Linked DNA regions of Macaca fascicularis. The protein of the gene in region 6 interacts with the protein of the main gene of each other region in a pairwise test. Links are inferred from orthologs where the notes say so. Each region holds a gene or a part of one and is shown on either strand. Other genes may lie near its edges. The genes, in order: WDR91, ZMAT2, EZR, H2AP, TRIP10, HTT and SP3.

Region 1 (3,323 bases), on a different chromosome or scaffold from region 6:
AATAACTATTTACTACTGTCTCTGGTGTTTTCTCATAATCAAGCCACTTAAATACCTCCCTACTTTTCCCTCAACTCCCAGAACAGAGCCAAGGCTTTGATAAAAGTTTCTTTGTGCTTTTCCACAAGCAGGTAACTAGGAGTATCCCTACTCCAGACTTGTGCCCCCAGAACTGGGCTGGAGCTCAGAGACTTAAAATGACTAGTGGCAGCCACCTTTCCCAGCTTAGTGATAAGGTCACCCCTGCTAAGCACTGGAGACCAAAGCCCAGGCCCATCACTCCCATAGTGACTCCCCCCATAAGCTCTGCCTCAGCTGTGAAAGGCAAGAGGGAAAAGGGGAGTGAGTCTCTTGTTCCTCCTCACCTCCTGGGAGGATCTGCATTTTCAAGGTCCCACCCCAGCCAGGGAGGAGAGGGCACGCCTCAGGCAGGGTGTGGACACAGCTGGTTGATGCTCAGCTCAGCTACAGATGGGCTCAGCCACAGTTGGGCTGGCCTTAACCCCAGGTGCCCACCAGCAGCAACTTGGCCCCCTTGCTCTGACCTCACCATTCGCCAGCAGAGGGGGGCAGGCAGCCGTCACCTTTCCACAGAGATGTTCAGTTGGAGGAAGGAGAGGAGCCACCAAATGAAAGAGGTATAGGTTGAGCGTCCTTAACCCAAAGATCCAAAATCCAAAATGCTCCATAACCCAAAACTTTTTTTTTTTTTTCAGTTGTGTTCTCCCTCTGTCGCCCAGGATGCAGGTCAATGATGTGATCTTGGCTCACTGTAACTTCCGCCTCCTGGGCTCAAGTGATTCTCCTGCCCCAGCCTCCGGAGTAGCGGGGATTACAGGCACCTGCCACCACGCCTAGCTGATTTTGGTATTTTTAGTAGAGATGGGGTTTCACCATGTTGGCCAGGCTGGTCTCGAACTCCTGACCTTAAGTGATCCACCCACCTTGGCCTCCCAAAGTGCTGGGATTACAGACGTGACCACCGTGCCCCGCTCCAAAACTTTGAGCACCAACATGACACCACAAGTAGAAAATACCATACGTGACCACAATCAATACTTTGTTTTCATGTACAAAATTATTTAAAATGCTGTATAGAGTTATCTTTAGGCTACATGTATAAGGTATATCTAAAACATGAGTGAATTTCATGTTTAGACATGAGACCTACCAAGACACCTCGTTATGTATATATGCAAATATTCCAAAGTCTGAAAAAATCCAAAATCTGTAACACTCCTGTCCCAAGCATTTCAGATAAGGAATGCTTAGCCCATCTTGGGAAACAGCAGCCACTGGATGGAAAGGGGAAGCCAGTGGCAGAGGCCTCAGCCCCTGCCTTCATCCTGAGAATCTTCTGTAACAAAAGCTGCCAGCTTTCAGGGAAGAAAAAGAACTCTGTGGCCTTGACTGAAGCCCAGAGAAACAGGAACTGCCAAACCTTGTTACGCAGCAGAACAGACAGAGAGCTGACCTGGCTCCATGGCAAAGCAACAGGAGAGCCTGGAGAGGTTCAGCTCCGGGCCAGCAGAGCCAGGCTGGGTGGGAGGGCTGTCACTGAAGCAAAGTGACACACATCCTAGAAAGAGACACCAGGGGACCATAAGAGCATTCTCTTTTTTAAAAAAAGAAAAATAAAAATGGGCATATATATACAAAATACTGTCAATTTCTTCTGAGCCAACACAGTAGCCACTGCAATGTTTCTCCTTCTTCCAGAGCTTTCCTCCATAGTCTCACATGTACTTCTGGCACAGCCATGATACCCGTCTCTGGGAAGCATATGCCACCTACTCCACGTGGGTCCCATTCCAGTCACCGAAGATGGCAGTGCCTGACCCTCCTTGCCAGTCTTTCCCTGCAGAGTCACTGCACTGGCAGGGAGATGGAGTGGAGCACCTGGTTTTCCTGTCCTATACCTCCTCCCCCTACCCCGGATAATACTGCTTCATTGGGTGGCCCTTGGGGCAGGTCATCAGGCTTTATGGGCCAGGAGGGTGGTCAGCTTGATCTTCCCATCCATGGAGGCAGTGAGGCAGGTCCCACAGTCCATGGCAGTGCTCCAGTCCACGGTGACCACAGGGGCTCGGTGGCCACCCAGGCTCAAGCAGCTCTCCAGAACCTTCTCATCGCCACCCAGCTGCAAGAGGACAGGAAACAGGAGGAGGTGTCAGCAAACACCACTTACACATACTTGATCCACTTTCAGTGGCCTACCTGAGGATGTGCTTGAGGCCAGGCACACATGCCCACCTTTCTAGAAAGTCTGTTTAACTTCTTCAACCAGGAAATGCTTTCACTTTCCCAACTACAGCTGGTCCATCTGAAGTGGAAAACAAGTCCCTGAGCAGCTCTTTAAAATAAGGCATTTTCTCAGCTGCCTTGAACTTGCTGTGGGCTGGTGCTGCTTGCACGCACACTGGTTGTTCTCACTACAGCATCACTTCTCACTACCTGACATGTGCTCATGAATCTGCTCATTGGTTGAAGGTTCACTCCCATACCGGGGAATGCAAGCTGCAGGGGAGTAGGGCCTCAGGCAGCTCTCTCCTGCGGGGGGCCAGCCTGCCACACCCAGAACAGTGCTGGCGCAGGGGAGCCTTCAGTTGGTGCGGAAACATGGCTCTCTGAACCCCGGCACTAGCTAGCCAGCGATCCTGTGCGATAGGGCACTAACGGGGAAGGAGAAGCTGGGAGCGAACCGAATTCCTATCAGTACCACTATGTATAGCAACTGTGAGCGAGAGACAACGCAGTCTTCAGCCATCGTGGAGAAAACACTTACAAAAACCATAAATTACATTGTTTATAGATTATAAAAGTGGGACCTGAAGTTCAATATATTCCTTAAATAATTAGATCTCATTATTCACATTCAAAGAATTCTACAGAGGAAAATCTTTCCACCAACTAACTGGTCATACAGCAAGTCTGACTGCCAATCATATGAACTGATCAGATCAAATGACAAAGGCTGCATGACTAAAAATAAAACACATACACACATATATCCATACAGAGAGCAAAGTACTGAACAGCCCACCAAAAATGCAACAAAAACAAACCTCTGGAGAATAAAATAAGAGCAGGCTTGTAAACGGAAAGCGTTTTAGTGTCTCCATTGGGAAATATCAGTTATGAGAAATGATGGAGCTAATTTTGAAGGAAAGGGCAAGGGCAACTGACAGAATCAAGCTCCACAGAAAAGAGGAGCCTAACCCACAGCGAGCGCAGGTCCTGCGGTGCACACTTCAGATTACAGTCTACGAGGCTCCCACTTCCCACCTCAGCACGGGCAGTACCCCTTGCCTCACTGTGAGCTC
Region 2 (3,028 bases), on a different chromosome or scaffold from region 6:
AGACTTAACTTTTTTTTTGGCCGGGTGCGGTGGCTCAAGCCTGTAATCCCAGCACTTTGGGAGGCCGAGACGGGTGGATCACGAGGTCAGGAGATCGAGACCATCCTGGCTAACACGGTGAAACCCCGTCTCTACTAAGAAATACAAAAAAAAAAAACTAGCCGGGCGAGGTGGCGGGCGCCTGTGGTCCCAGCTACTCGGGAGGCTGAGGCCGGAGAATGGCGTGAACCCGGGAGGTGGAGCTTGCAGTGAGCTGAGATCTGGCCACTGCACTCTAGCCTGGGCTACAGAGCGAGACTCCGTCTCAAAAAAAAAAAAAAAAAAAAAAAAAAAAAGACTTAACTTTCTTTAGAGCAGTTTGGGTTTGCAACAAAATCGAGAGGGAGGTATAAAGATTTCCCATATACCCACTGTCCCCCACAACATGCATAGCTTCCTCCATACTTTTTTTTTTTAACTACAAGAGGAATTAACTAAATGTACCTAGTCCTAAGGAGGCCCATGAAATCAGGCTGACTGGGTCAGAATTCTGTTTCTTCCACTTACTGGCTGTGAATCTTGGGCAAGTTATATAACCTCTTTGTGCCTCAGTATCCCCATATTAGAGATCTTAGTATAATATGCATGAAGTACTCAGAGCAATTTCTGGCATGTACTGCATGCCCCAGAATGTCAGTTGCTATTATATGGTTTTGCTGTCATAACCCTGTCAGGAACTAGAAATGACATGGGGCCAGACGCAGTGGCTCACGCGTGTAATCCCAACACTTTGGGAGGCCAAGGTGGATGGATCACTTGAGACCAGGAGTTCAAGACCAGCCCCAGCAACATGGTGGGACCCTGTCTCTACAAATACAAAAATTAGCTGGGTGCAGTGGCACACGCCTATAGTCCCAGCTACTTGGGAGGCTGAGGTGGGAGGATTGCTTGAACCCAGGAGGTGGAGGTTGCGATGAGCCGAGATTGTGCCACTGCACTCCAGCCTAGGCGACAGAACAAGACTCTCTCAAAAAAAAAAAAAAAAATGAACTAGAGTGCAGGCTTGAGAACTTCTCTCTAGAGGCTAAAACTTCTTTTTGTTATCCTTTATAATTTTTACTCTGGCTTTTACTCTGTCCTTGAGATTTTACTTGTCTTAAGTACTTTCTCCTAAAGATAGAAAGGAGTCTTGAAACTCATGTCTTTTTCAGTAACATTTGGCTGAGGAGTCTAAACTGATTCTGAGTGATTTTTCCCTCCAGGAAGAAAAGGCCAAAGCATACAAGAAAGAGAAACAGAAGGAGAAGAAAAGGAGGGCTGAGGAGGACTTGACATTTGAGGAGGACGATGAGATGGCAGCTGTGATGGGCTTCTCTGGCTTTGGTTCCACCAAGAAGAGTTACTGAGGCTTTCTATGCTTGGCCTAACTTGGGCCTATGCTGGACCTAACTTTGTGTGTGTGTGTGTGTGTAGTCGGGGGTCATTTCTTTTTGGGTGATGGGAAAGTTCTTAAGAGTGTCAATGGGGAGGGATAGAGGGTGGGGCTCATGGTTTCCCTCTACTTTGGGAGAGGGCACAGATTGCAGAGGTAATGCTGTGGCATATTGCTTCAGCCTCAGTATATCGCTGGAGTCATAGGACCCCTGCCCACCTGAGTTTCCAATAAAGAAAAACCTCCCCTTCTGAGGCTGCTTTCCCAAAACTCCCCCTGCATCTTTATCTCTCCATCTATCCAGCCTCTTGTCTGAGCATCCCAACTTTATCCTGTGTTATGCCTTTGTTTTAATTTTATCTCATGTTCAGCCTGCAACAGAAGCATTCTCTAGGTCCCAGTTTCCAGTTGATTGCATATCCTTGACCAGCCCTTTTTCCCATCCCGCCCTATGGTTCTCTAGCTACCTGTGCATGCATGTGTATTTCTGCCTGGTTCTATGGTGTGTGGATGTGTGTGCATGAATCTGTCACATAGAGGGGGCCTGAGCTGGAATCCTAGAGCATTGCTGCCCTGGGGCCTGATGTTCTTGGCTTCCTCAGAGCATGTAACAGGAAATTAAATGGGATGAGTGTTTGGTGTGGTTTGTGTCTGATGAGTTTTTTAACATTCAGGTGTAGATTGTTTCAGGTTCTCTTGTTTCATTTTCCTGAGGATTTCTGTTTTTGTCTTCCTTGTGAGCAGGCTTTTGGAAGAACCTGTTTGATGCAAAGAAGAAAATGAAAAACAAAACAAAACAAAAAATCCCCAAAACCTTATTATGGGAGCCCTTGGGTCTTAGAAGCTGTTCAACATGTATAATAAATGGCATTGACTGGGCCTGTTTTACATTTGGTGGGAACATTCCATAATTTTGCCTGTGAATATTTGTTTTTCCTTCTCATGCTGAGGATTTCCATAGAGTGTTTTATTCTTCCATTTTAAATCTTATTTTTGCCTAGGATTTTTTTTTTTTTTTTTTTTTTTAGCATGAGTTATGTTTTCCTCTGGTAAGGGATCTGTGTCCAGAGGAGCCTGAACCAAAACTATTCCTATCATTTCAGACTCCTTTGATCTTTTGTTTTTGGAACAGTAGAGCTCAGGATTGAACTTAGTGTTTTTCTTTTTCTTTTTCTTTTTTTTTTTTTTTTTTGAGAGAGTCTTGCTCTATCGCCCAGTCTGGAGTGCAGTGGCGCGGTCTTGGCTCACTGCAACCTCCGCCTCTTGGCTTCAAGCGGCTAATTTTGTATTTTTAGTTGAGATGGGGTTTCACCATGTTGGCTAGGCTGGTCTAGAACTCCTTGCTCAGGTGATCCACCTGCCTCAGCCTCCCAAAGTGCTGGGATTATAGGCGTGAGCCATTGCACCCTGCCCTTAGTGTGTTTCTTACTGTCTGCTAGACACAGGATTACTTAATCTTGGCACTGTTGATATTTTGGGCCAGATTATCATTTGTTGTAGAAACCAATGCTGTGCAGTGTAGGGTGTTTATGATTTTGATTTTGATTTAGGATTAACTTCATCCGTGGCCTTTACCTGCTAGATGCCAGTAGCACCCTCTTCCACAATTGTGACAAC
Region 3 (4,967 bases), on a different chromosome or scaffold from region 6:
ACCGCAACCTCCACCTTCCAGGTTCAAGCAATTCTCCTGCCTCAGCCTCCCGAGTAGCTGGGACTACAGGTGCGCACCACCAAGCCCAGCTAATTCTGTATTTTTAGTAGAGATGGGGTTTCTCCATGTTGGTCAGGCTGGTCTTGAACTCCCGACCTCAGGTGTTCCACCTGCCTCAGCCTCCCAAAGTTCTGGGATTACAGGCGTGAGCCACCGTGCCTGGCCTATATCTTCATTTTAATAAAAAAGAAATTCAGGCCAGGCGCGGTGGCTCACGCCTGTAATCCTAGCACTTTGGGAGGCCGAGGTGAGCGGATCACCTGAAGTCAGGAGTTCAAAACCAGCCTGGCCAACATGGTGAAACTCCATCTCTACTAAAAATACAAAAAATTAGCTGGGCGTGGTGGCGGGTGTCTGTAATCCCAGCTATTGGAGAGGCTGAGGCAGGAGAATTGCTTGAACCTGGGAGACAGAGGTTGCAGTGAGCCGAGATTGCGCCATTGCACTCCAGCCTGGGCAACAAGAGTGAAACTCCGTCTAAAAAAAAAAGGAAAGGAAAGGAAAGAAATTCAGTCTTTCAGAGGGAATACACTTACCTGAATAGAGGTCAAAGTCTCAGAAGAGGCCTCCCTCCTCTCTCTGACCTCTGAAATGCCCTGGACCTGCAAGTGGGAGATTACAGGCCCTGACAAGGGTTGCCCAAACAGCAGTGTGGCACTAGGAAGGCAGGTTAAGCATCAATTACTATGATGCTAGCACAACTTAAGCACTCTGCATGCACAATCTCATTTAATCCTTACAAGTGTATGTAGGAGGGGCTACTAGTATGTTCATTCAACAAACTGGGATACAGAGTTTGGAACTTCACCCAAAGTCACTAGTTTCTCTACCAGGATAGATTTAAGTGCTTACTGTCAGGTACTGTTCCAGGCATCTTATATGTACTAACTCATTATCCCCATTACAACCCTCTGATACAGGTGCCATAATTATGCCACTTTACAGACGAGAAAACTAAAAGCAGAAAGGGAGCAGTAAACCCAGGAGATGAATTCTGGAGAAGCTCTCTGGTTTCAACCCTTAGCCAACATCACAATCACCTGAAGGGCTTGTAATACACTGATTGCTGGGCCCAGTCCTAGAGTTTCTGAATCCTAAGGCTGAGCAACACCTAATTTCCACTTCTGCAAGTTCCCAGTGAATGCTGTTGCTGCTCGTCTGGAAGCCAGACGTTGAGAACCCCTTCTAGAGTGAGGTCTCCCGCAACAAATTCTACCGGCCCCCAAAGCACGTGTTTTGTGTGTCTTAAAAATTTGTTGAGTACCATTAGCAAAAAACAAACAAAAAAACTTAATTCCTAGAATTGCAGAGAAATCCCATGGAGTTTTTTGCTAGTCACGTCAAAAGAGGCCACAAAGTGCCGCTTAACCAGAGCTTCGGAAGACAGCGGCTGGGCCGGCCACGTGCACCGAGACTTGGGGCCAGGTGCAGCCGCCCCAGGGCCGGGGTATCGGAAAGGGCCCCCGGTCCCAGCCCCAAGCGGCCCAGCAATTCCCCCGGGCCGTCCGCCCCTCCAGATTTATTTACGTTTTCCTGACTTCCCCCTGCCCGCCGTGGGACAAACAGCCTCCCCACTTGCATCTGCGCTGGGAGTAGCGCGTACTTCCGCCAAATTCGCCTCCGAGCCCGAGTCCCGGCCGCCGCCATCTTGCGGGGGGCGCACCTCACAGGTCGGGAGCTGGGCGGGAAGGGGCGTGGCCCCGGGACCCGCCCCGCCAGGGCTCTTGGGAGCGCGGGCAGCCAGCGCACTCGGCGGACGCCAGGGCGGCGGGGAGCACACGGAGCACTGCAGGCGTCGGGTGAGGCGTACGGCGGCGGGGGTCGGGGCGGGGGTTCCTGACGGAGGGACCGGGTGGGCGGCGGGAGCTCGGATGCAGGTACGGCGGGCAGCCTGGGGGGCGCGGCGCGGGTCTCTGCCCGGCACTCGAGGGGCAGTGGAGCTGAGCCGGCCAGCGGCCCCGCGACCTTCCCCTCGGCACCAGGTCCCCTCTCCCGAAGGAAACGCGGAGCCTGGGTGCCTGGGCGCCGTCCCTTGGCGGCTCCCGGGCGGTTGCAGTTTTTGAAAGAGTTTCTCAAAGGCGTGACGGTTGCGATTGCAGCCGCGGGGCAACGGTTGCTACACAAAGTGAAACTTGCCGAGTGCTCGGCTCCTCACGGGCTTCCTGGCAGCCCTGGGAAGTTCCTCGGCTGACCCCGAGCCCGCGCCCTCTCTCCACGGACCCCTCCCCGCCGAGTGCCCCCCGGCCATGCGCCCCCTCTCCCCTGACCCCTCCCTGCCGAGTGCCCCGAGGGCTCGCGCCGGCGCTCCCGGGACTCCTTTCTCCTAGGTGATTCCCCCTGCCCCTCGCCCTCTCTCCCCCAGGCCCGCGCTCCGTCTTCCCGGGCCTTTCCCCGCCGGGTACCCCGGGCCCCGCGCCCTCTCTTCTCCACTTCTCTCAGCCAGGTGCACCTGGAGTGCCCCCCAGACCCCTTCCCGCCCGGTCGGCGCTCTTTCCCCCATCCCTCCCCGCCGAGTGTTCCCCGGGGCCCGTGCCCTCTCCCCCCGACCCTCTCCGCCGAGCGTTCCCCCTGCCCTATATCTCCCGGACCCGCGTCCCCCACCAGCCCCTTAATGCTGGGGGTCCCCGGGTGCGCACCCCCTCTCTCCGGACCCCCCCAACTGGGGGCACCTCGAGTGCCCGCCGGCTGCCCCTTGGGCGCGCGCCCCCGCGCTCAGGCCCCTCCTCGCCGGGGGCCCCGCCCGGCCGCGCCCCCTCCCCGTGCCCGCAGTGCTGGGCGGGGCGCTGACTCACCCCGGCCCGGGCTGGCCGGTTCTTAAGCGGCGGCGCGCGGCGGGCGCGGAGTGTCGGGCGCGGCAGGAGGACGAGGCAGGGCCGACCGGCGCTCTAAGGGCTCTGCTTTGACTCCAGGTTGGGACAGCGTCTCCGCTGCTGCTGGAGAGTCGTGTTTCCGGGGATCGAGGATACTCAACAGGAACCGAAAATGCCGAAACCAGTAAGTTGCCCAGTTTCTGGGACGGGCGGACGGGGGAGGCTTCATTGGCGAGGGGAGGCACCTGCACGAGGTGTTGGGGCAGTTCCTGGTGGAAGAAGGCTTTTCTCACACGCAGAAGAGGATAGGAATAGGGGGTTGTCGCCGCTCTTTGTTACTTGTTGGCCCTTTTGTGGAGCGTTAGGAAAACACCATTTTGATGCTTTTCTCTGCAGTCTTTTTCTTTGTGAGCCCCCTCCCCAGTAGTTACGATCTTCTCTAAAAACTAGAGGCCCTTTTACACTGCTTCCGTCTGTTTTTAAAGGGTATGGTAATGCAACTTCGAATTTTCTTAAAAAGTCCAAATCACAGGGAGACTCAAATGGCCTCCGACCACACACACCAGCTCTCAGAGTTCCTAAGGGTCCGAAACCACAGGCGCCCAAGATCCAACTGGGGAGATTTAAAGGGCGTTTGGGAGAGGAGACTGGCTTTCGGAAGTTGCCGTTCAGCTTCGCTTCCTACGAGGCCCATGAAGCGGTGCCCTGTTCACCAGGAAACTTACTGGCTGCAGCAGAATTTCTGTCTCTTAACAGAAGGTTAGCCATGGACTTGAATTGTAGATGCAGGCAGTCGGCGGAGTTTGATGAGCGGCTCTTGGCACGCTGGGCCGAGCACTCCTGGTCAACTGATGAAAGGGCTGTGCCTGCGCCTCTGTCTCCTTGAATCTGATTGTGTTGAGATTGCTGGCTAGGCCTGGGGGTTGTAGGCAAAAGGCAGGTTCTCTGGGACTGACACTTCTTAGAAAGTTGTATGTATTCTACCTGCTTTTAACGCTGGGGAACTAGTGACTATTCGGGAGAAGGTTTAACATTTTTTGAGTTTTGAATCACAGTGGACAAAATAACAGGGTTCATTACAAACTGGGATTACAGATACATCCGGATTTTTTTTCTGGTTTTTCAAACAAGTTGGTTCTGTAATCAATGATTGTGTGCCTTTTTTTTTTTTTTTTTTTTTTTTTTTTTGTTGGGGGAGGTAGGTGGTGGGGAGCAGAGTCTCCCTCTGTCGCCCGGGCTGGAGTGCAGTGGCCTGATCTCAGCTCACTGCAACCTCTGCCTGTTGGGTTCAGGCGAATCTCCTGCCTCAGCCTCCCGAGTAGCTGGGATTACAGGCATGTGCCACCATGCCCAGCTAAATTGTGTATTTTTGTAGAGAGGGTGTTTCACCATGTTGGCCAGGTTGGTCTCAAACTCCCGACCTCAGGTGATCCGCCCACCTCGACCTCCCAAAATGCTAGGATTACAGGCGTGAGCCACCACACCCGGCCTTGGTGCTTTTTCTACTGTTAAATTTTATGTTCTCTAAGAAGATGTTTGTTAGAGGTATTAATTTTGCTGTTAGGTTAGAGAATATTAATATGCCAATAGATTCAGAAGCCAATATCATTTTTGCCTAAGTTACATTAAGATTTATTTGCGGTGCAGAGTATTTTCTATACAAAATTTTTCTTTTTAATTCAAACTTAAAAGTGACACGTGACATCCAGGCTTGACAGTGCATGTGGTATGAAACTGACCTAAGTACAACCCCTTACTTAGGCAGAGCTGAGTGCAAGGGTATGCAGAGGAGTGGTCAAGATTACCCTTCTGGGTGTGGTTTTCTTTATTTCACTAAAAGAAGAGATGCAGAGCTCAGCTAAGATAGCACTCAGGAAAAAGTTAACCTGTTCTTAGTCACTACTTTTCTTTCTCATAATGAATGGTAATTTATTTTTCTGGTTTCTTTTTTGTATCTTGGTAAAATATACAATTTATCCTCTTACTTTTAGATTTACATTTCAAAGGTATTAAGTACATTTACATTGTTACATCGCCATCACCAAGGTCTATCTCCAGAACTTTATCTTCCCAGATTGAAACTCTACCCATTAAACT
Region 4 (3,864 bases), on a different chromosome or scaffold from region 6:
TGTGACACCTCTTTTAAACTTAGCACAGAGCAGGAAGTTTTGAAAAGGATTGCACATGCTTTAGAGGCCGTCACTTGGGACAGAACTATTTCTATACCTCTTAAAACATGTATTGAGTCACTAATAATTCTTTGGTGCTCTATGCAATATATAGTAATTATAATGAATAGGTATTTAATTTAAAAATGAAATTGTTAATTGTGTTTTAAATGAAATACATATATAATTAAGCTGATTCATTAATAATTAACAACCATTAAGAACTTCTTGAATTGCCCATCTTAGGCCAGATCATAAATTTTATGTATTATTATGATTTATTTTACCAGTGTCCTGAAGAGAGGACAGAAAGATATATTCACAGCACTAGCTACTAATCCCTGTCTCAAATCCTCTTTCATAATAAGTCAGGGCATAAAGAAATAAGAAATGAAATCCAGCAGGCCATCATTTCTTTTTTGCATTTTTCATCATGGTTTCTCCTTCACTCTCAATCTCCATGTAAAGTCCCTATCCCATGAACTTCATGCCAGCCAGTGTGCCCCCTCTCCACCCGCCCCTGTGGCCACCACCCTCTGCCTCCTGCACTTCAGTCAGAGTCTGCAGCTCCACCCCAGGCCCCAGCATCAGGCTGGGAATTCAGCAAGCCTCAGAGGCCCCCAGCCAACTCCCCGGCCTCACAAGGCCTTCCTGTTCAGAGGCAATTAGGAAGTCTCGGTGTCTTTATCCCAGCCAGTTCCTCCCCACAGGGCCCGTGCCCTCTCTGTCACCGTTGGAAACTGCCCCCTCTAAATCACTGATTCAAACACTCCACACTGGCCACCACTTCCCGCCCCCCCCCCCCAACTTCAGCTCTCTGGGGATAGCTTCTCCTTGATGTCTCACAGACACCTACAACCCAAAAAGACGGAAACTGGAAGGAGTCAGAAACATACTCATGGATTTACATCCTTTAGTAGCACTTGTTGATGACAACAGCAGATATTCCTCAGCTGTGACACATTTTTGCCCTGGCTAAGCCTGTGAGGATCCCCTCAAGGCTCTGGGACCCAGTCTTCAGTCATTCTTTCCGGATTTGGGCATCTCATCAAACACAAAGCGGGTTCCATCACTCTCAGTGCGGTGGGGCTCATGGTGGTTGTCCACTTCTCTCTCCCCATCTTGTGAAGTGTTGCGCATCCTGCCATTGTTGATGGCCTCCAAGCCTACCTGCTCCATGATGTAGTCAGCAAGGCAATCGAGCAGGGTAAGGAGGATATTTATTGTGGAGGAACTCTGGCTTTGGGCATCTTGTTCATCTTGCACAACTCGGTCCACGAAGCTCATAGGGACCCGCAGCTCATTTCTAGACCGGTCTTGAATCTGGTTGTTATTTGCAGAGGAGTTCTTACGGTTATTTTTCTCTGACATGATATTTGCTGGGTTTGGCTCTGATCAGCTCTGCTTGATTCTCCAGCTCAAGTAAGTCTCTGAGGACGCTGGTGCTGCCTATTGGATCCCTCTGCTCCAGGCCCTGATTGGTCAGGGAGCTAGCTGCCTTTGTGACATCCCTAGGCTTTGTGATTTCACTGGTGTCCACTGGTCCCTGATCAGACCTCAGCTTAGAAATGTCTGTGACACTGATCTAGTCACCCTAATGACTGAACCCTGATTTTGAGGGAACTATAACTCTTTACCTGATTTTGACATTATAAAAATAAAAGTGTGTTTCAATGGAAAACTTTGCTCTATCTTTAGGACACCACTGCAGGTTATCTGATTCTAGCCTTACATTATCTGTGAAGTCTTTTATAGCCTTTTGTTAGTTGTAGGTGGCTGATACATGTACAGTATATTCTTTAGTAGAGGTTCAGTTGTCTTCACCTTATGAAACCAGTTTTGCCTCCATGTGCACAATCATTTAATATTACTGATGAATATTCCCATATCGACTCTTTGGTTTCCCTTTTGAAGCAGTCATAACATCTTTTTCTTTTAGCATGTGTTCATTTCGTATCTGTATGAGTGTCATGATTTTACCCTATTTGAAAAATGCATTTTATTTATTTTTTTATTTTTATTTTTTATTATTATACTTTAAGTTCTAGGGTACATGTGCACAATGTGCAGGTTTGTTACATATGTATACATGTGCCATGTTGGTGTGCTGCACCCATTAACTCGTCATTTACATTAGGTATATCTCCTAATGCTATCCCTCCCCCCTCCCCCCTCCCCACAACAGACCCCAGTGTGTGATGTTCCCCTTCCTGTGTCCAAGTGATCTCATTCTTCAATTCCCACCTATGAGTGAGAACATGCAGTGTTTGGTTTTCTGTTCTTGCGATAGTTTGCTGAGAATGATGGTTTCCAGCTGCATCCATGTGCCTACAAAGGACACGAACTCATCCTTTTTTATGGCTTCATAGTATTCCATGGTGTATATGTGCCACATTTTCTTAATCCAGTCTGTCACTGATGGACATTTGGGTTGATTCCAAGTCTTTGCTATTGTGAATAGTGCTGCAATAAACATACATGTGTATGTGTCTTTATAGCAGCATGATTTATAATCCTTTGGGTATATCCCCAGTAATGGGATGGCTGAGTCAAATGGTATTTCTAGTTCTAGATCCTTGAGGAATTGCCATACTGTTTTCCACAATGGTTGAAAAATATATTTTAATCATTTTTCAATTAATAATAAGATGCTCAATAAGTTTACCTGTCAGTGTCAGGTAAACAGTTGATAGAGAAGTGCATCTTGTGCTCAGTTTAAGCCCAGATGTATATTTCTTGTCTCTCCTAGGTGAAGCAAAAGCACTAACAGATGTTTCTTTTCTATTATTTAATTTTCCTTTCTAGTAATTCTGTGTTTTCCCTTTGACTTTGGTTCATTTACAGCCAATAACTTTGCCATTCCATAGGGGAAAAAGTAGAAAGAACAAAAGAGTCTTAAATCCAAACAATTTCAAAATCCAACCATTAGGTTTCAAGGCCTGGGAATATTCTATGACTTAAGACTCCTCCCTTTGATCACTCTGATCCTATGACTTCACCTGGGGTAATAAATCTGCCCTCTGGCCTCTAGGTTCTGCCCTCAGTCATTGTTCCTTTATTTTGAATGGTAGCATATGTTTACAGCTGAGTAGTTTTATCAGCCTGCTTTCTCCTGTCAAATTTTGGGAGTCCTATGGCCTTCTTTCATTTCTTCCTCTATTTGTCCCTTTCCGTCTAAGCTGGCATTGTTTCTGCTGATATAACATTCTCAAAAACTTATAGGTCTTTTATGTATGTCATGGGGATTCATGTGATTAGACAAGAGGTTTCTTCAAGATCCTTCATAGACAATCCCTTGCTTATTCTGAGAAGCACACCCCATATCTCTTCAAAACACCATCTGTGTGATTGAATATTTTGATCTTTTGATCCCTTAAAGGCACTAGCAAAAGGATGTCTAGCTATGCCCTTGATTTTATCTCTGGAGGATGATTTCGTGGCAACGAATTTCCTAATTTTGGTGTCTTTTTGCAATCTGGATAGGCTGAAAATTTCTCATATCATTGAATCCTGCTTTCTTTTTGCTTAACAGTTCTTCCCTCAATTTATGTCTTTCCTCTAGCATTTTACTATAAGCAGAAATAAAAGCAGGCCATTCATTTAATCCTTTGCATGAAAATCTCCTCAGCTAAATATTCAAGTTCATTGCTTACAAGTCCTGCTTTCCACATAATTGTAGGGCACAACTCAGCTACGATTTCTGATGCTATATAACACAAAATCTCTTTTCCAATATTATGTTACTAACTTCTTTCTAAGCCTTCACCAGGAACATCTTTGACATTTTATTTCTATCAATAGTTTGTTTATGATAATTTAGGTGTT
Region 5 (4,252 bases), on a different chromosome or scaffold from region 6:
CGGCCGGAGCGGGGGGACGGGGGTCCGTTAGGCAATGCCGAGGGTACGGGACCCCCCAGGGGGGAGAGGGGTGGGGGGCGAGGCTACCGGAGGGGGCCGGGGAGGGGGATAGGTTGAAGGGGTAGGGGGGTGTAGGAGGATGTAGAAAATGAGGACGAATGGACGGAGGAATGGATGCACGGATGGACGGATGGACGCGAAAAGAAAAAAGGAAAAACAAAATGGAGAAAGAAAAAAACGGTAAGAAAACCACAACTCAAGATACACAATCACACAGAGAAAACGCATGCAGGAGCGACACAAAAACATTTGGAAGGTGGCGGGGAGGACGTTGAACTGTAAGCCCAAAAGCCAGAACTCTCACACCCCCGGTATCTCCTAGGTCTCTGGAATGTTATGTCCGGGAGCAAGCATGGGTCCAGGAGGCAGGCAGACCCATGTATCTCTGTCCACTTAGCTTTCTGGGCTGACAGTCTAGAAGACGCATGCAGGAATCGAGGTCTCAGACAGGTGTGAGGCCACGGAGGACACAAAAGATAAACAAAAATAAAACCACAAGCTGAGAGGGAGTGGAAGGCAGGAAAATGAGAGGGGTTAGCGGCGTCAGAGGTTTAAGCTCGGGGATCGCAGGTGGAAGTCAAGGAGAGGTATGAGAGTGTAAGTCAAGAGGGACCCAGAGTATAAATCAAAGGTATAAACCAAGGGTGCTAAGGTATATTAAAATCCAAAAACCCAAGAAACCAGGACGTGCAGGGCAGCTCCCGGAGTCCCATCAGCAGGATGGAGAGAGAAACTCGGGGAGTCCCCAGGGATGGTGTCACCAGCCCTCAGGCCAGCTCTGAATTCCACCAGCAGGTTTTCTCCCAGCATCCCGAGAAGCAGCAGACAAACGCCACAGACCTCCCCACCCTGCCCCCGCCTTCGCCTCGGGGGACTCCCAGGCCAAGCGGCCCGCCCGCCTTCCTTCCCTCCAGCCCGGGCTGGCAGCCAAGAGGAAAATTCCTGCCCGGGACTCGGCGTTCAGGCGGCTGGGGCTGACTCAACAGGGGCCCCACTGTCCCCACCTCACTGTCCTTCTCCCCCACCATCCCAAGGGTCCCGGCCCCCACCTTGTTCTTCTTGCCAAAGGGCCAGCGCTTGGTGCGGATGCGGCCTGGGCCTCGGAGCTCCGGTCGTCCTTCCGAGGGGGTGCCCAGACTGCTGTCCGAGGGTGCACGGTTCATGGGCTGGCTGAAGTCCTCGAATTCCACGTCGCCCGGGCGGGCAAAACCTGACTTGTGCAGCTCTATAAGGACTTGGGAGTCCTGGGGGAGGGGGACAGTGGATGAGTAGTCAAGTGACCAGCGTATGGGGACTTCCCTCCGCCCTTCCCATGGCCCACTGGACCCAGACCAGGCACCCACGTTCTTGGGATCCACAGCATTTGCAGCCACCTTCATGCCCTCCAAGCACTTGGCGATGATGGGCACCACCTCCAGCTCGGCCTCCGACAGGAGCCCATACCCGGCACCCAGGCGGGTGGCCCTGCGTTCATCCATGTCTTGGAGCTTCTGTAGGGACGGGGACAAGGGTGGCTCAGGGGTGCTAACAGAGGGACTAGAAGCACAGTGATTCACTCTGCAAATATGATCGCACTCCACGCTGGCCCCAACCCCAAGCCAGTCTGGAGGGGAAGACAGAGTCAGGAAGAGAAGAGACTCCAGCCCAGTGTGGTTGGGGAGCGACACAGTGCCAGGGGGATCTCAGAGGGGGACGCCTGCCTAGGGGGTCAGCAAAGGCTTCTCAAAGGAGGAGACAAAGGAGCAGGGATTTGAAGAAAAAGCAGAACCAGCCCTGATACTTCCAGGGCCTGGGATGGGACAGAGAATGGAGCACTAGATTGAAACAGGAGAGGGGAAATTCGAGACCTTTCAGAGAGGTTGTTAGAGGTGGAGCTTAAAATAATAAGTAGGAATTTCAAAAGGAAAGAAACCTTGCTTGAGCCCAGGGGTTCCAGGCTGCAGTGAGCTGTGATTGCGCCACTGCACTCCTGCCTGGGTGACAGAGCCAGGCCCCATCTCTCTATAGAAGTAAATAAACAAACAAGTAAAAGGCATGCCCAGCAGGAAGAACAGCTGATTAAAAGCACAGCTCGCTGTTATGATAGGTTTCTGATTCCCTTTCAATCTAGGGACTGGGACATTGCAGCTGGGGTTTTGACGAATGTGCAGGAGTTGGCTAACATTTGGGGGCTTTTGGGAAGGTAGGTCTGAGAACTGGGAGCACTCACATCAAATATCTGGGGCATCTGTGAAAAATAGAAGTGGGCTTGGTCTCGGTTGAAGCGCTGCAGTTGAGCTGCATATTCGTTTTTGCTTTCTTCGGCCATATGACTCCGAAGGTGGGCTTGCTGCTTGGCCTGAGGAATGAGGAGGTGGAAGGTACTACCAGGTTCTGGTCACGTCCCACCCGGACCCCCTAAGCTTGTCCCAGACCCCGCCACCCCCTCACACACCTTCTCCACGTCAGCCTTGGTGGCGTTGATATCCTGGTCTAGCCGTTCAGCAGTCTGGGCTGCCTTCTCTGCCTCCCGGCAGTCCCGCTCAAATTTACGCTTACTCTGTGTAGGGTAGGGGACAGAACCAGAGTGAGGGAGCCACCCTCCCAAAGACAGCAGGGTGGGAAACCAAGGTTTCAGGGATTGTTGGGATGTCAACCAGTAAGTAGGGGACAAGGGCGTACTAGAAGCCTATGGGGCAGGGAAGGACCAGGTCTGACAAAGAGGGCAGGTCCCTGACTCCAGGATCTGCAACCCTGACCCCCGTGCCTCCGGGCCACAGTCACTGCCACCTCTGCAAACTCACATTCTCCAGCTGTTTGAAGCCGTTTTCCAGCTGCTGCTGGGCCCGCCGCCCTTCTTGGAAGTGCTACAGAAAGAAGAGCGATAAGGCTCGCCAGAGTTCCAGCAGGAGCCCTTCCCAAAACCTGAATCGGAGGGGAGTTCCTCACCATCTTCCTCTCCTGTTTCATCTCTTGTGAGTACTTGGTCAGCTCAAGACAGACACGGACACTGAGGTTCTCGGCCACCAACTCCCGCTGGCCTGCAAAGTCATTCACCTCCTGGAGAATCTGTACGAAGGACTGTTGCTGGCTGAATCTGGGGTAGGATGAGAATCGGGGAACAGGGAGTCAGGCCCCCCAAATAGGCTGATGCCCCAGGACGCACCTCCAGGTGGAAAAGGGTTAAGCCCCAAGAATTTAATCCTTGAAGCAATGACAAGTTGTGGTCCATATTCCTTAACCCCAACCTTTGAGTAGAATTTTTTTTTTTTTTTTTTTTTGAGACAGGGTCTTGCTGTCACCCAGGCTGCAGTGCAGTGGCATAATCGTGTCTCACTGCAGCCTCAAACTCCTGGGCTCAAGTGATCCTCCCACCTCAGGCTCCCAAATAGCTGGGACCACAGCCACACGCCACCATACCTGACTAATTTTTTTTTTTTTTTTTTTGAGATGAGGTCTCAAACTCCAATCCCCCCGAACTCCGCCTGTTCCCGCCTCACCCTCCCAAAGTGCTGGGAGTACAGGTGTGAGCCACTGCACTGGACCTCGAATGTATTTTGGAACACAGAATTTTCCAGTTTTTAAAGATGGTATACTGAGGTCAAGAGATCAAGACCATCCTGGCTAACACGGTGAAACCCTGTCTCTACTAAAATTACAAAAAATTAGCCGGGTATGGTGGCATGTGCCTGTAATCCCAGCTACTCAGGAGGCTGAGGCAGGAGAATTGCTTGAACCAGAGAGGAGGAGGTTGCAGCGAGCCAAGATTGTGCCACTGCACTCCAGCCTGGGTGACGGAGCGAGACTCTGTCTCAAAAAATATAAATAAATAAAATAAAGATGGTGTACAAGGCTTACACCACCTTTTATGCATCATTTCAGTGGGGTTGGGGACATCATTTTGTAATCAAACACCGTATCTTCTTTTTTTTTTTTTTTTTTTTGAGACAGTCGGTTGCCCAGGCTGAAGTGCAGTGGTGCGATCTCAGCTCACTGCAACCTCCACCTCCCGGGTTCAAGCGATTCTCATGCCTTAGCCTCCCGAGTAGCTGGGATTATAGGCACCCACCACAACACCTGGCTAATGTTTGTATTTTTAGAAGAGACAAGATTTCACCACATCGGCCAGGCTGGTCTTGAACTCCTGACCTCAAGTGATCCACCTGCCTAGGCCTCCCAAGGTGCTGGGATTACAGGTGTAAGCCACCGCGCC
Region 6 (4,252 bases):
GCTGGGAAGAGATGAGCAAAGCAGACAGCCCAGGAGAGGATGGCAAAGGGGCCGCTAACCCTTAGTAGTTTAGCTATATTTGGAAGGACTATTAGAAGTTCACCAGGTGAAGGGGGAGGCCGTGAGAGTACCCAGGTAGGTAACAGAAGTCCAAAGGGGAAGACCTGTGGTGTGGTGAGCTGTATAGCCACAACATGCCGGCCGGCGGCCCTCTCAGTTAGCCTAGTGCAGTGTTCCCAAGCACTGGCCTAGGCCTGTAGCTCCAGGGATGTGAAGTGCCCTTGAACGCCACCCATCATGTTCCCCTTATTCATCTTTTTCTTCCCAGGACTGGTACATTCATCTTGTCAAATCCCAGTGTTGGACCAGGTCAGATTCTGCGCTGCTGGAAGGTGCAGAGCTGGTGAATCGGATTCCTGCTGAAGATATGAGTGCCTTCATGATGAACTCGGTACGGGGGGAGCAGCGGAAGCAAGGAATCCTCAGCTTTTCTTGTGACTTCCAAGTGGGATTTGTCTCCTCATGTGACCCACTTGTTGACAACACATGTTGGAGACTCCACTCTGGATGGGGACGGGATGACGGAGAGACTCCACTCTGAATGGGGCTGGGAAGTGGGGAGGACTCCATTTCAGGGGGCCGGGACATGGGGGATATGCTGATCGAGATTGTTTCAGCCACATTAGAATCCAAGGAGGCAAGTCGATTTCACTCAACCTTTCATGCATTTAAAGAAAATGGAGGTGGTCTTAGATTACAGTCATTTCACTGGTTTGTTCTCATGGCAGTGAGGAAGGGTATTGGATTGGTGTCTGTCTTAATTCAGGATCTTTGAGAAGATGGAGAGCACTCCCTCAGGGATTAGGAGAGACTCGAGATGGAAATGAAGATTTTACTACTTACAGGTCCTGGCGGGTACATGGCATGCCCAGAGGCCCCTCACACATGGAAGTTGGGGGCATGTGAGGGAATGAAGTGTGGTCCTGGGCACTTTTATTGGCATCTAGGGTGGGGGACCTGAGCGGCAGGAAGCAGGGTAGAAACTGGATGGCAGTGAAGTTGGAAGCAGGCAGCTGTGAAATTTGAAGCAAGTTGATGGGAGCCCTCTCTCATGAGGAGGTATTGTTTTGAAATCCAGCTGGCCCCAAGGCTGGGTGTGTGGTTTGGCATGAGAACTATCTGACCTCCACGGGAGGAACAAACACGGGATGTCATCATCTAAGCTCCATGGCCAAGACAGAATGGAAGTCAGGGTTGCATATTTGCCGTAGACTTTGACACAGTGTCGTAGTAACTTGTTTCTGGTGTTCTGGAGGTTGATCTTTAGTCGCAAAAGAGACCCTTGAATGCAGTGAGATTTCCTCTACCCACACCTCTGTTAGATGTAGTGAGGTTCTTCACCCCCCAACCCCAGATGTCAGAGGGCAGCCTGCGCAGAGCTATCCCAGGAGACCGTGCAAAGCCTTGGTGTCCCTGTCCTTCACCTGTGGGCAGATCCTGTGAGCAGTCGGGGGGCCACCTCTTTGGTGTGGTACAGCCATGGCCTGAGCAGGGCTTCCTCTCAGACCTACTAGGACGGGAGAAACCTCCTGGTGCTTTAGCCCTGCGTTGATACGCAGCAGATGGGAGGGAAGTGGGCACCCGGGAGGACAAATGCATGTAGAGGCTGGGGGTGGAGGCAGGTGTTCATGAAAAGAGACCTTACAGGGAGGGCAACACAACAGTGTGTTCTGATGTACTGAAGAGCTAGACTGAAAAGAACAGGAGAATTCACCCAAAATCCATTTACTAAAATTGTTTATCCTTTTTTTTTTTTGAGACGAAGTCTCGCTCTTGTCCCCCAGGCTGGAGTGCGATGGTAGATCTTGGCTCACTGCAACCTCTGCCTCCTGGATTTAAACAATTCTCCTGCCTCAGCCTCCCGAGTACAGGCATGCACCCACCACGCCCGGCTAATTTTTGTATTTTTAGTAGAGACGTGGTTTCACCGTGTTGGCCAGGCTTGTCTTAAACTCCTGACCTCAGGTGATCTCCCTGCCTCAGCCTCCCAAAGTGCTGGGATTACAGGCCTGAGCCACTGCGCCCGGCCTAAAATTGTTTATCTTAAGATTCATGCAGTGAAAACTAACTTACTGAGTGATAAATTTGCTTAGTGATCTGTTTATTAGGTTTTCCAAATTTGCTAATTGGGCTTTGAACAGCTGTAAAAGTTCTGACTGTAAAAGAAAGCTGCAACTTTTGGCATTCATGATGCTTTTCTGAATATTAAACTAAGATAGATGTTTTACCTGAAGAATTGGCCCCCAATCTTATAAATGGCTAAACAAAAAAGGTTGCTAAAACATAATCCAAATTGTCATAGGAAATACCATTTTTCCAACCAAAATTTTGTCATTCATATGGCTACTTTTACTTATTTCAGCTGCATTTGACCATCTTTTTCAAACTTCAGGGATGGTTGGTGTATCACCGAGATCTTGGATGACACTTTAGCTTTGATTTTCTGTTTTTATGAATTAAAATTGTCATACCAAAATTTTTACTTCAAGCAAATCCAAGAGCATAAAAAATTAAAATATCACTTAAAGTACCAAGAGAGAACAGAAATATATTTTACTAAGCGTACGTTGAATGAAGTTGTTCAAATATTTGTAACAGGCATAGAGTAGAATTTTCTTAAAAACATTTTTGATGGTATACCAATCTGTGTTTTCTCAGAAACATTTGCCTTATTCTTTTTTCTGTTGTGTTTTTCTTACCTGATTGAAAGCTCCTAATCTGTTGTTACTGTTTGTTTAACCTTTAATGCTCTGATTTCAGGAGTTCAACCTAAGCCTGCTAGCTCCATGCTTAAGCCTAGGGATGAGTGAGATTTCTGGTGGCCAGAAGAGTCCGCTTTTTGAAGCAGCCCGTGAGGTGACTCTGGCCCGCGTGAGCAGCACCGTGCAGCAGCTCCCTGCTGCCCACCACGTCTTCCAGTCCGACCTGCCTGCAGAGCCGGCGGCCTACTGGAGCAAGTTGAATGATCTATTTGGTAATTAAAATTAAAATTTATCTTATTTTTAGAAAGGTTCCAGGGCCAGTATAGTACTTTGCACCAAGTCAATATACAATAAAGGCGGTGGATCTAATACAGCGAAAGCGTTTACAGAGGCAGCTAAAGAGCAGCACTGGTGGCCTCAGCGCAGAATTTCTTCCTGCGTGTTTGCCACTTTGCCGTTCATTGACGTGGTCACGGACATAGGGCTCTAAGCCCTTGAGGAAGGCTGGGCCAGACCTCAGGGGAGATGCAGCCCCAAACTACATGCAGTCATGTGGATGGATGCGTAGATGTGCCATTGAGGAGCAATGTCTTGTGCTTTCATCAGATTCTCAAAGAATTGCTTGACTGCCTTTCGAAGGTGTTGCATCTGTGCTCATGTTTGCACCCACCCACGAGGGCCTTCTGTTTCAGGGGATGCTGCGCTGTATCAGTCCCTGACCACTCTGGCCCGGGCCCTGGCACAGTACCTGGTGGCGGTCTCCAAACTGCCCAGTCACTTGCACCTTCCTCCTGAGAAAGAGAAGGACACCATGAAATTCGTGGTGGCAACCCTTGAGGTAAGAGGCAGCTCAGGAGCTCATTGTTGCTGTGGGAGGGGACACGGGGCTGACACTGGAGAGGGTAAAGCAGTTTTATTTGAAAAGCAAGAGCTCTGACCAATCCAGTCACTCTTCCGTCTCAGCCTGGCAGTAAGTCTTGTCACCGTCAAGTTATTGTAGCCAGCCTTCACCCTTGCCTCGCCACTCCTCACGGTGGCCTGTGAGGTCAGCCAGGTCCCCTTCTCATCTGCACCTCCAGTGTTATGTGGATCGTAATTTTAGAGACTTGAAAAATAACCATCTGGAGGTACTTTGTGTCTTAAGTTGGCCTGGACATGTCAGCCAAGGAATACTTGGTTTGTGTTAGTGCTTGTAATTAGCCCCCAAAACATGTACACATTCTGGATGCATTAAAGTCAGGCCTGTATCCTTAAAGGGCCATCTCTGTACTGCCTGCCCTCAGCAGGGACACACTTTGCAGACCCACAGAGGCTCCGCCTCCACCTCACACCAAAGAAAGGGAGGAGTCCAAAGGGCATCAGTGCCGTTACTCACAAAATGATAAATACACCCTTATTCTGAACCAGGTGGAGTCAGATGGTTTGTGATCCCTGTCCTTTAGGTTTCAGCTTAGTGGGGAAGTGGGAAAGCCAGCGTGTGATCACAGCAC
Region 7 (4,981 bases), on a different chromosome or scaffold from region 6:
TCTGTAAACTGATACCTAAACTTTACAAATTACAGCTACAAGAAAATTTTGTTCCATTTGAAATACAAAAAAGATCAGTAGAAGCAATCTGCTTTTCAATTTTACTTATGCAGTTTAAGATAGTCAATTTCTTTTGGCACTTAGGAACTAGAGGGATACAGTTCATAAAAAAGGTCTACCAACCCTTAGTGAAGCTGAAATGAGGTGAAATAAAGGCCTACCAATCCATAAATGTATTTAAAAATAACAATGCCTAATACAATTTTACATTTTTACATCTTAATCTGCTTATAAAAAAGACATTAAAACTATTCACATCCCCTATAACGAAACACTAAAATTACAAATCTATTTACCAATAATAGCTTAACATTGGTTTAACTTAAAAAAAAAAATCTGGACGTACTAACCATTTGCTGTAGACTATACCAAATACCAAACTTCTCTTTCTTCAGTGACTATTCAAAATATCACTCCACAAATCAATTCCTATGATCTACCCCCCCCCCACACACACACACGAGAGGGTTTTCATTATTTTAACAGGTGAACAAATCTACACAATACAACAGTGATGATCCAAATGTAAAATTCACAATTAACAGTCTAAAAACTATTCCTACCCTATTTGTATTAACCCCTCACATAACACAGGCGAGCTCCTCCCCTTGCCCCGGACACTGTGAAAACACTACAGAAAGAATCCCACCACATCTTACCTGACTAGCAGTCGTAATAAAACAAAAATATACTTTTGCCAATCATATTCAACTGTAAGTATTGCAGTATTAGCATGCATGTAAATACAATTTCTTACATATACTTTTCTAACACTGATAGTCATATTCAATTTCAAAAGATAAAGTACTATCTAAGCAACTTGCCAATTTCAAAGGCTGCTAAATGTTTCACTTACGCCCCTTACAAAAAAAACTCACTGCAAATTTAAGTAGTCTGCAAAAACTAAAAATCAACGATTTTGAATGGTCACTAAAAAAGCAAAAAGTGTTCACTCCTGCATACAAAAGGATAATTCAAATAATAAACCCCCATTTTTTAAAAATAATGTATGATTTAAAACAGTAAGATCCTGTAACTTCCAACAGAAAATGCTCCAGTTTCAAAAATACTAAAAACTAAAGACACTCCTTCTAGTTGATACTATCTATGGCCGATAGGCTGTGCTTGAAAATTTTGTAGTGTTCAGCGAAGGAGTTTTCAGCACTGATAGGAATTGCTCAAACATCCATTTTGGAGTCCTCTACCCCCGCCCTCTCAGACTTCATTTTGTGAAGAATTTTGCGCGAGGTGCCGCAGTGACAATTTCGAGAAAGCCTGGGCTGGCTTCAGATCCAAACAGGGATGCGAAAGAGCAGGAAAGGGCGCCCTGGAGCCCAGCGGCCCGTGCGGCTCGGGAGAAGCGCGGGCGCCGGGGAGGCCTTTTGGGCGGGCGCGCTACGGGCCCCGGATGGCGGGCGCCGGGCCTCAGCGGGGGCGGGCCGCGCGCGGGACTTACCGCTCCGGCGGCGGCGGGGGCCCCGGCTGCGGCGGCCGCCTCCTCCTCGTCGTCGCCCGGCGATGGCGGCCCTATCTTGCTGCAGGTAGCGGCCAGCAGAGCGAGCGGTGACGGCTGAGTGTCCTACCCCCAATGGGCGGGTTCAGAGAGGGAGACAGGGGGAGGGGGTGGCGGTTAGGGCCGGGCGGCCGCTCGCACAGGAAGTGCGACTCGATCCCCGCCGACTGCGCCCGGGCGAGCGCCAACCCGCACTCTCCTCCTCCTCCTGGTCCCGCCGCCGGCCCCCGCCTGGCGTCCCCCGCTCCACGAACCCCGGCTCCCCGGTCTGCGGGCAGGCGGGCGGCGGGCTAGCGCGCCGGGCCTCCGCCTTCCGCCCGGAACCCACCCCCGAGAGGGCACGCTGGGGCCCACACTCACACGCGCACAAAAAGGCGGCAGGCGGGCGGGGCGGGGCGTCGCGGGCGGGGTCGGAGCGTTGGCGCCTCGGGCGGGCAGCTCCCGAGGCGGGGGGAGGGGAGGGGAGGGGAGGGGAGGGGAGAGGCGAGGAGGGAGGGGTGAGGCGAGGAGGGAGGGGAGAGGCGAGGGGAGGAGAAAGCGGCGCAAGGGGGGAGCCGGGCCGGGGCTCAGCCGCTCCTCACCTGGGCCGCCGCCGCCGCCGCCACCGCGCCGTTTCCGTGCTGTTGCTGCTGCTGCAGATACTCGCCGTGGCCGCCGCCACCACCACCGCCGCCGCCGCTGTCCACGTCCAAGGCAGCCATTTCCTCTTGTTTCACGGGCTTTTCGGGAGCTGCAGGCACAGCGCGGGGGGGTGGGGGTGGGGAGGAAGGCGGGTGGCGGAGAGGGAGGGGGCCCGCGGGCCGAGGCGAAATTACTCCCAAAGCCCGGACCCAGGCCCCTTCCCCTCCCCCACCCGCCCCCCGGCGGCGGCGGCGGCGGCGGCGGCTCCCTCCTCCCCTCCTGCTGCTGCCCCCGCCCGCCGCTGCCTGTAACCCTCCTCCTCCTCCTCTTTCCCTCCTCCTCCTCCTCCCCGCGCTGCCCCTGCCCCCTCTCCTCTCCTCCCCTTTCCCTTCGCGCCGCTCGCTCTCACTCGCGCTCGCTCCTCTCGCACCGTCAGTCACTCACACACGCCCGCCCGCGCCCGCACACAGGGGGATGCGCTCCCGGCGGACCGGGCCGCCCGCCCCGGGGCCTGGCGGGGAGACGGCGTTGCTGGGGCTTCGGGGGTGGACGGTGGCTGGCGGGGAGGGGAGGGAGGCGCAGGGGAGTGCAGCTTTCTGCCTCTCACAGACACTCGGTCGCACACACGGGGCCAGGACCGGCGGCAGCGGCCCCGGGCTGGCTGTGGTCGGCGGCAGCGGCGGCGGCGGCAGCAGCAAGGGTTGCTCTCTCGGCTTTACGTACCGGTCATAGTGTGTTTAGGGCACCTCAGGCGGGGCTCCCCGCCGCCTTACACATGGTGAGGAGCGAAGGCGGCGGCGGCGGGAGAGGATGCGGGAAGCGGCGGCGGACACGGCCGGAGCGGTCCGGGGATTTTTTTTTCCTATTTTGATTGACTGTGCGGGAAACACAAAAGGTGGAGCCTCCAGCCCAAAAGGGGGGAAGAGGGTGACAGCCTGCCCGGAACTCCCGCCCCTCTTCTTGGCCCTCATTCGCCGCCGTGTTCTCCGTCGGATGTGCTCATTGGTCCAGGCGCCCGTCCGTCGCTGTGCCAGGCGGCGCGCTTCCTGTTTGCCCCCCGGGTGGAAGGGGCGAGACAATGAGCGGCCGTGGCAGCGTAGGTTTCCGAGAGCGGCTACGGCTCGCCGGTTACCCCGCTGTGTCCGCCTCTCTCGCCGGCTGCCGCTGCCAGGCCCGAGGCGCAGGCCTCCTCCACCTCGCAGGCGCTCGGAGCAGGCCTAGCCAAGCTGTAGGGGAGCTGAGCTGGGGAGGAAATTCGTCCCCGGTGACTCCGGCTCCACTGGAGGCTACCTCCATCCCGGCAGCAGCCTCGGCCGGATTTCCCCAGGGCCTCGCGCTCTTGGAGCCGCCGCTTGCCTGCGCTGCCAGGAGGGCACCGCCGCTCAGCCCCGGGGCTGCTGCTGCGGCCGCTGCCGCTACTGAGCAAACCAGACCCGCCCCACGAGCCCGGGGGGAGGGAGCTGGTATTAGGGGAGACACCCCCTCCGAGGCTGGAGGAGGATTTTTCTCACACACATCCAGCTTTCTGATTCACAGACAGCCATCTCGCTCCCAGCCCCCTTAGCCCCAGCTTTCCAACCGGTCTCCCACTTTCACGTACCGTGAAGGCAGGCATTTAAAGCAAAAAAATTTCAAGTCACCTCACATACGGAAGGAGAGTTTTAATTTTGGCCAGTGGCACCAAAACGGGCACTTAAAAGTATATTTCATTTTACCTGTGGTATGTGTATGTATCCAATGGGGCAGAATACTGTTTTTTTAAAAAGTCAGTCACATAATCATTTTGCTGCACAAACGTATTATCCCCAGCCTCTTAATCCTCTTGGTACCAAGTCAGATATCTCCTGAAACAAGCCCATCAACCATTGCCAACGTTTTTAAAGTCGTGAACTGGTGAAGTACCTTTTTTCCCCCATTGGAACATTTTTGTTGTATTTTAAAATCTTGTTTCACTCATTGGATTAGGTTAAAACTCCTTCCTTCTTTGGCAACCTTGATATCTTGCTGTCATCCTGGGGGAAAATGCTGAGGTTTTATGTCTGTGTTTTGCCAACTAAGAGATATCTCTCCCTGTTACCTTCAAGTATAGTTGCCAACAAAGAAGTTAAATTCAAGAGGTGGAAACACTGTCCACAATACCTCTTTTTTAGAAATCTGGCTCAAGAATCAGTTTTCCCATTACTGTGATGATTGTATTTTGTGTGATATGTGATGATGTGCTGGTGGATGAGGTTGTGAAGCACTTCAACTAGATTTTGTGTGTACTAACTTAATAGGTAATCCATTTGTGAGATAGCGAGTTTGCATCCCAGTTCCAAAGCAGTTAACCGCCTATGCTCACAGGATCAGAAACATTGTATGGTTACTTTGCTCTTAATTGTACAAAGATCGAATTTCTAGGGAATTGACCTAAAAACCACAAACATGCGGAAACGAGACTCAAAATTCTGAGTCCAAGAATAAGGTTCATCTCTCCTAATAGTAAGACCTTGTAGTCTCATTTAATTGGAAAAATAACTTCAAAGTTGAATGGTATAACCTGTGTACTATTTTACAACAAAAACTTTTAAGGAAATAAAAGTCACAAAATAACCTGATTTGGGGTGGGGGGAAGGGAAAAAGAGATGGGTGCCCTGAAGAGCAGGACAGGTGAAAAGTGAAAAGTAGACTGGGAGAGAGGAAGGGAAGTCACTATTATCACTCTGTTCCTACCTGGATCTGTTGGGTGGAAGGTAGCTCTTTCCCTAGAAAGGATATTTCAGGCATTTTCAGATTTTTTGTTTGTTT

Evidence for each region.
Region 1: the proteins of HTT (region 6) and WDR91 interact in binary tests that used the Homo sapiens proteins (3 or more experiments, as listed by UniProt). The link is inferred for Macaca fascicularis from reciprocal best matches to the Homo sapiens genes HTT and WDR91.
Region 2: the proteins of HTT (region 6) and ZMAT2 interact in binary tests that used the Homo sapiens proteins (3 or more experiments, as listed by UniProt). The link is inferred for Macaca fascicularis from reciprocal best matches to the Homo sapiens genes HTT and ZMAT2.
Region 3: the proteins of HTT (region 6) and EZR interact in binary tests that used the Homo sapiens proteins (3 or more experiments, as listed by UniProt). The link is inferred for Macaca fascicularis from reciprocal best matches to the Homo sapiens genes HTT and EZR.
Region 4: the proteins of HTT (region 6) and H2AP interact in binary tests that used the Homo sapiens proteins (3 or more experiments, as listed by UniProt). The link is inferred for Macaca fascicularis from reciprocal best matches to the Homo sapiens genes HTT and H2AP.
Region 5: the proteins of HTT (region 6) and TRIP10 interact in binary tests that used the Homo sapiens proteins (3 or more experiments, as listed by UniProt). The link is inferred for Macaca fascicularis from reciprocal best matches to the Homo sapiens genes HTT and TRIP10.
Region 7: the proteins of HTT (region 6) and SP3 interact in binary tests that used the Homo sapiens proteins (3 or more experiments, as listed by UniProt). The link is inferred for Macaca fascicularis from reciprocal best matches to the Homo sapiens genes HTT and SP3.

What each region holds. Positions count from the first base shown.
Region 1 is NC_088377.1:176,850,422-176,853,744, forward strand, and holds the end of WDR91 (WD repeat-containing protein 91), read right to left. Parts: intron 2,141-3,323; coding exon 1,976-2,140; 3' UTR 1,060-1,975; downstream 1-1,059.
Region 2 is NC_088380.1:147,181,187-147,184,214, forward strand, and holds the end of ZMAT2 (zinc finger matrin-type protein 2), read left to right. Parts: intron 1-1,241; coding exon 1,242-1,385; 3' UTR 1,386-2,299; downstream 2,300-3,028. UniProt on the Homo sapiens protein: Involved in pre-mRNA splicing as a component of the spliceosome.
Region 3 is NC_088378.1:67,154,629-67,159,595, reverse strand, and holds the start of EZR (ezrin), read left to right. Parts: upstream 1-1,811; 5' UTR 1,812-1,859; intron 1,860-2,969; 5' UTR 2,970-3,042; coding exon 3,043-3,054; intron 3,055-4,967. UniProt on the Homo sapiens protein: Probably involved in connections of major cytoskeletal structures to the plasma membrane. In epithelial cells, required for the formation of microvilli and membrane ruffles on the apical pole. Along with PLEKHG6, required for normal macropinocytosis.
Region 4 is NC_088395.1:37,929,562-37,933,425, reverse strand, and holds H2AP (huntingtin-interacting protein M), read right to left. Parts: upstream 2,183-3,864; 5' UTR 1,411-2,182; coding exon 1,057-1,410; 3' UTR 795-1,056; downstream 1-794.
Region 5 is NC_088393.1:7,506,154-7,510,405, reverse strand, and holds part of TRIP10 (cdc42-interacting protein 4), read right to left. Parts: intron 3,137-4,252; coding exon 2,989-3,136; intron 2,907-2,988; coding exon 2,844-2,906; intron 2,600-2,843; coding exon 2,495-2,599; intron 2,399-2,494; coding exon 2,270-2,398; intron 1,551-2,269; coding exon 1,404-1,550; intron 1,305-1,403; coding exon 1,110-1,304; intron 84-1,109; coding exon 1-83. UniProt on the Homo sapiens protein: Required for translocation of GLUT4 to the plasma membrane in response to insulin signaling. Required to coordinate membrane tubulation with reorganization of the actin cytoskeleton during endocytosis.
Region 6 is NC_088379.1:3,426,019-3,430,270, forward strand, and holds part of HTT (huntingtin), read left to right. Parts: intron 1-328; coding exon 329-451; intron 452-2,820; coding exon 2,821-3,034; intron 3,035-3,454; coding exon 3,455-3,600; intron 3,601-4,252.
Region 7 is NC_088386.1:69,488,236-69,493,216, forward strand, and holds the start of SP3 (transcription factor Sp3), read right to left. Parts: upstream 3,127-4,981; 5' UTR 2,925-3,126; coding exon 2,918-2,924; intron 2,304-2,917; coding exon 2,155-2,303; intron 1,640-2,154; coding exon 1,517-1,639; intron 1-1,516. UniProt on the Homo sapiens protein: Transcriptional factor that can act as an activator or repressor depending on isoform and/or post-translational modifications. Binds to GT and GC boxes promoter elements. Competes with SP1 for the GC-box promoters.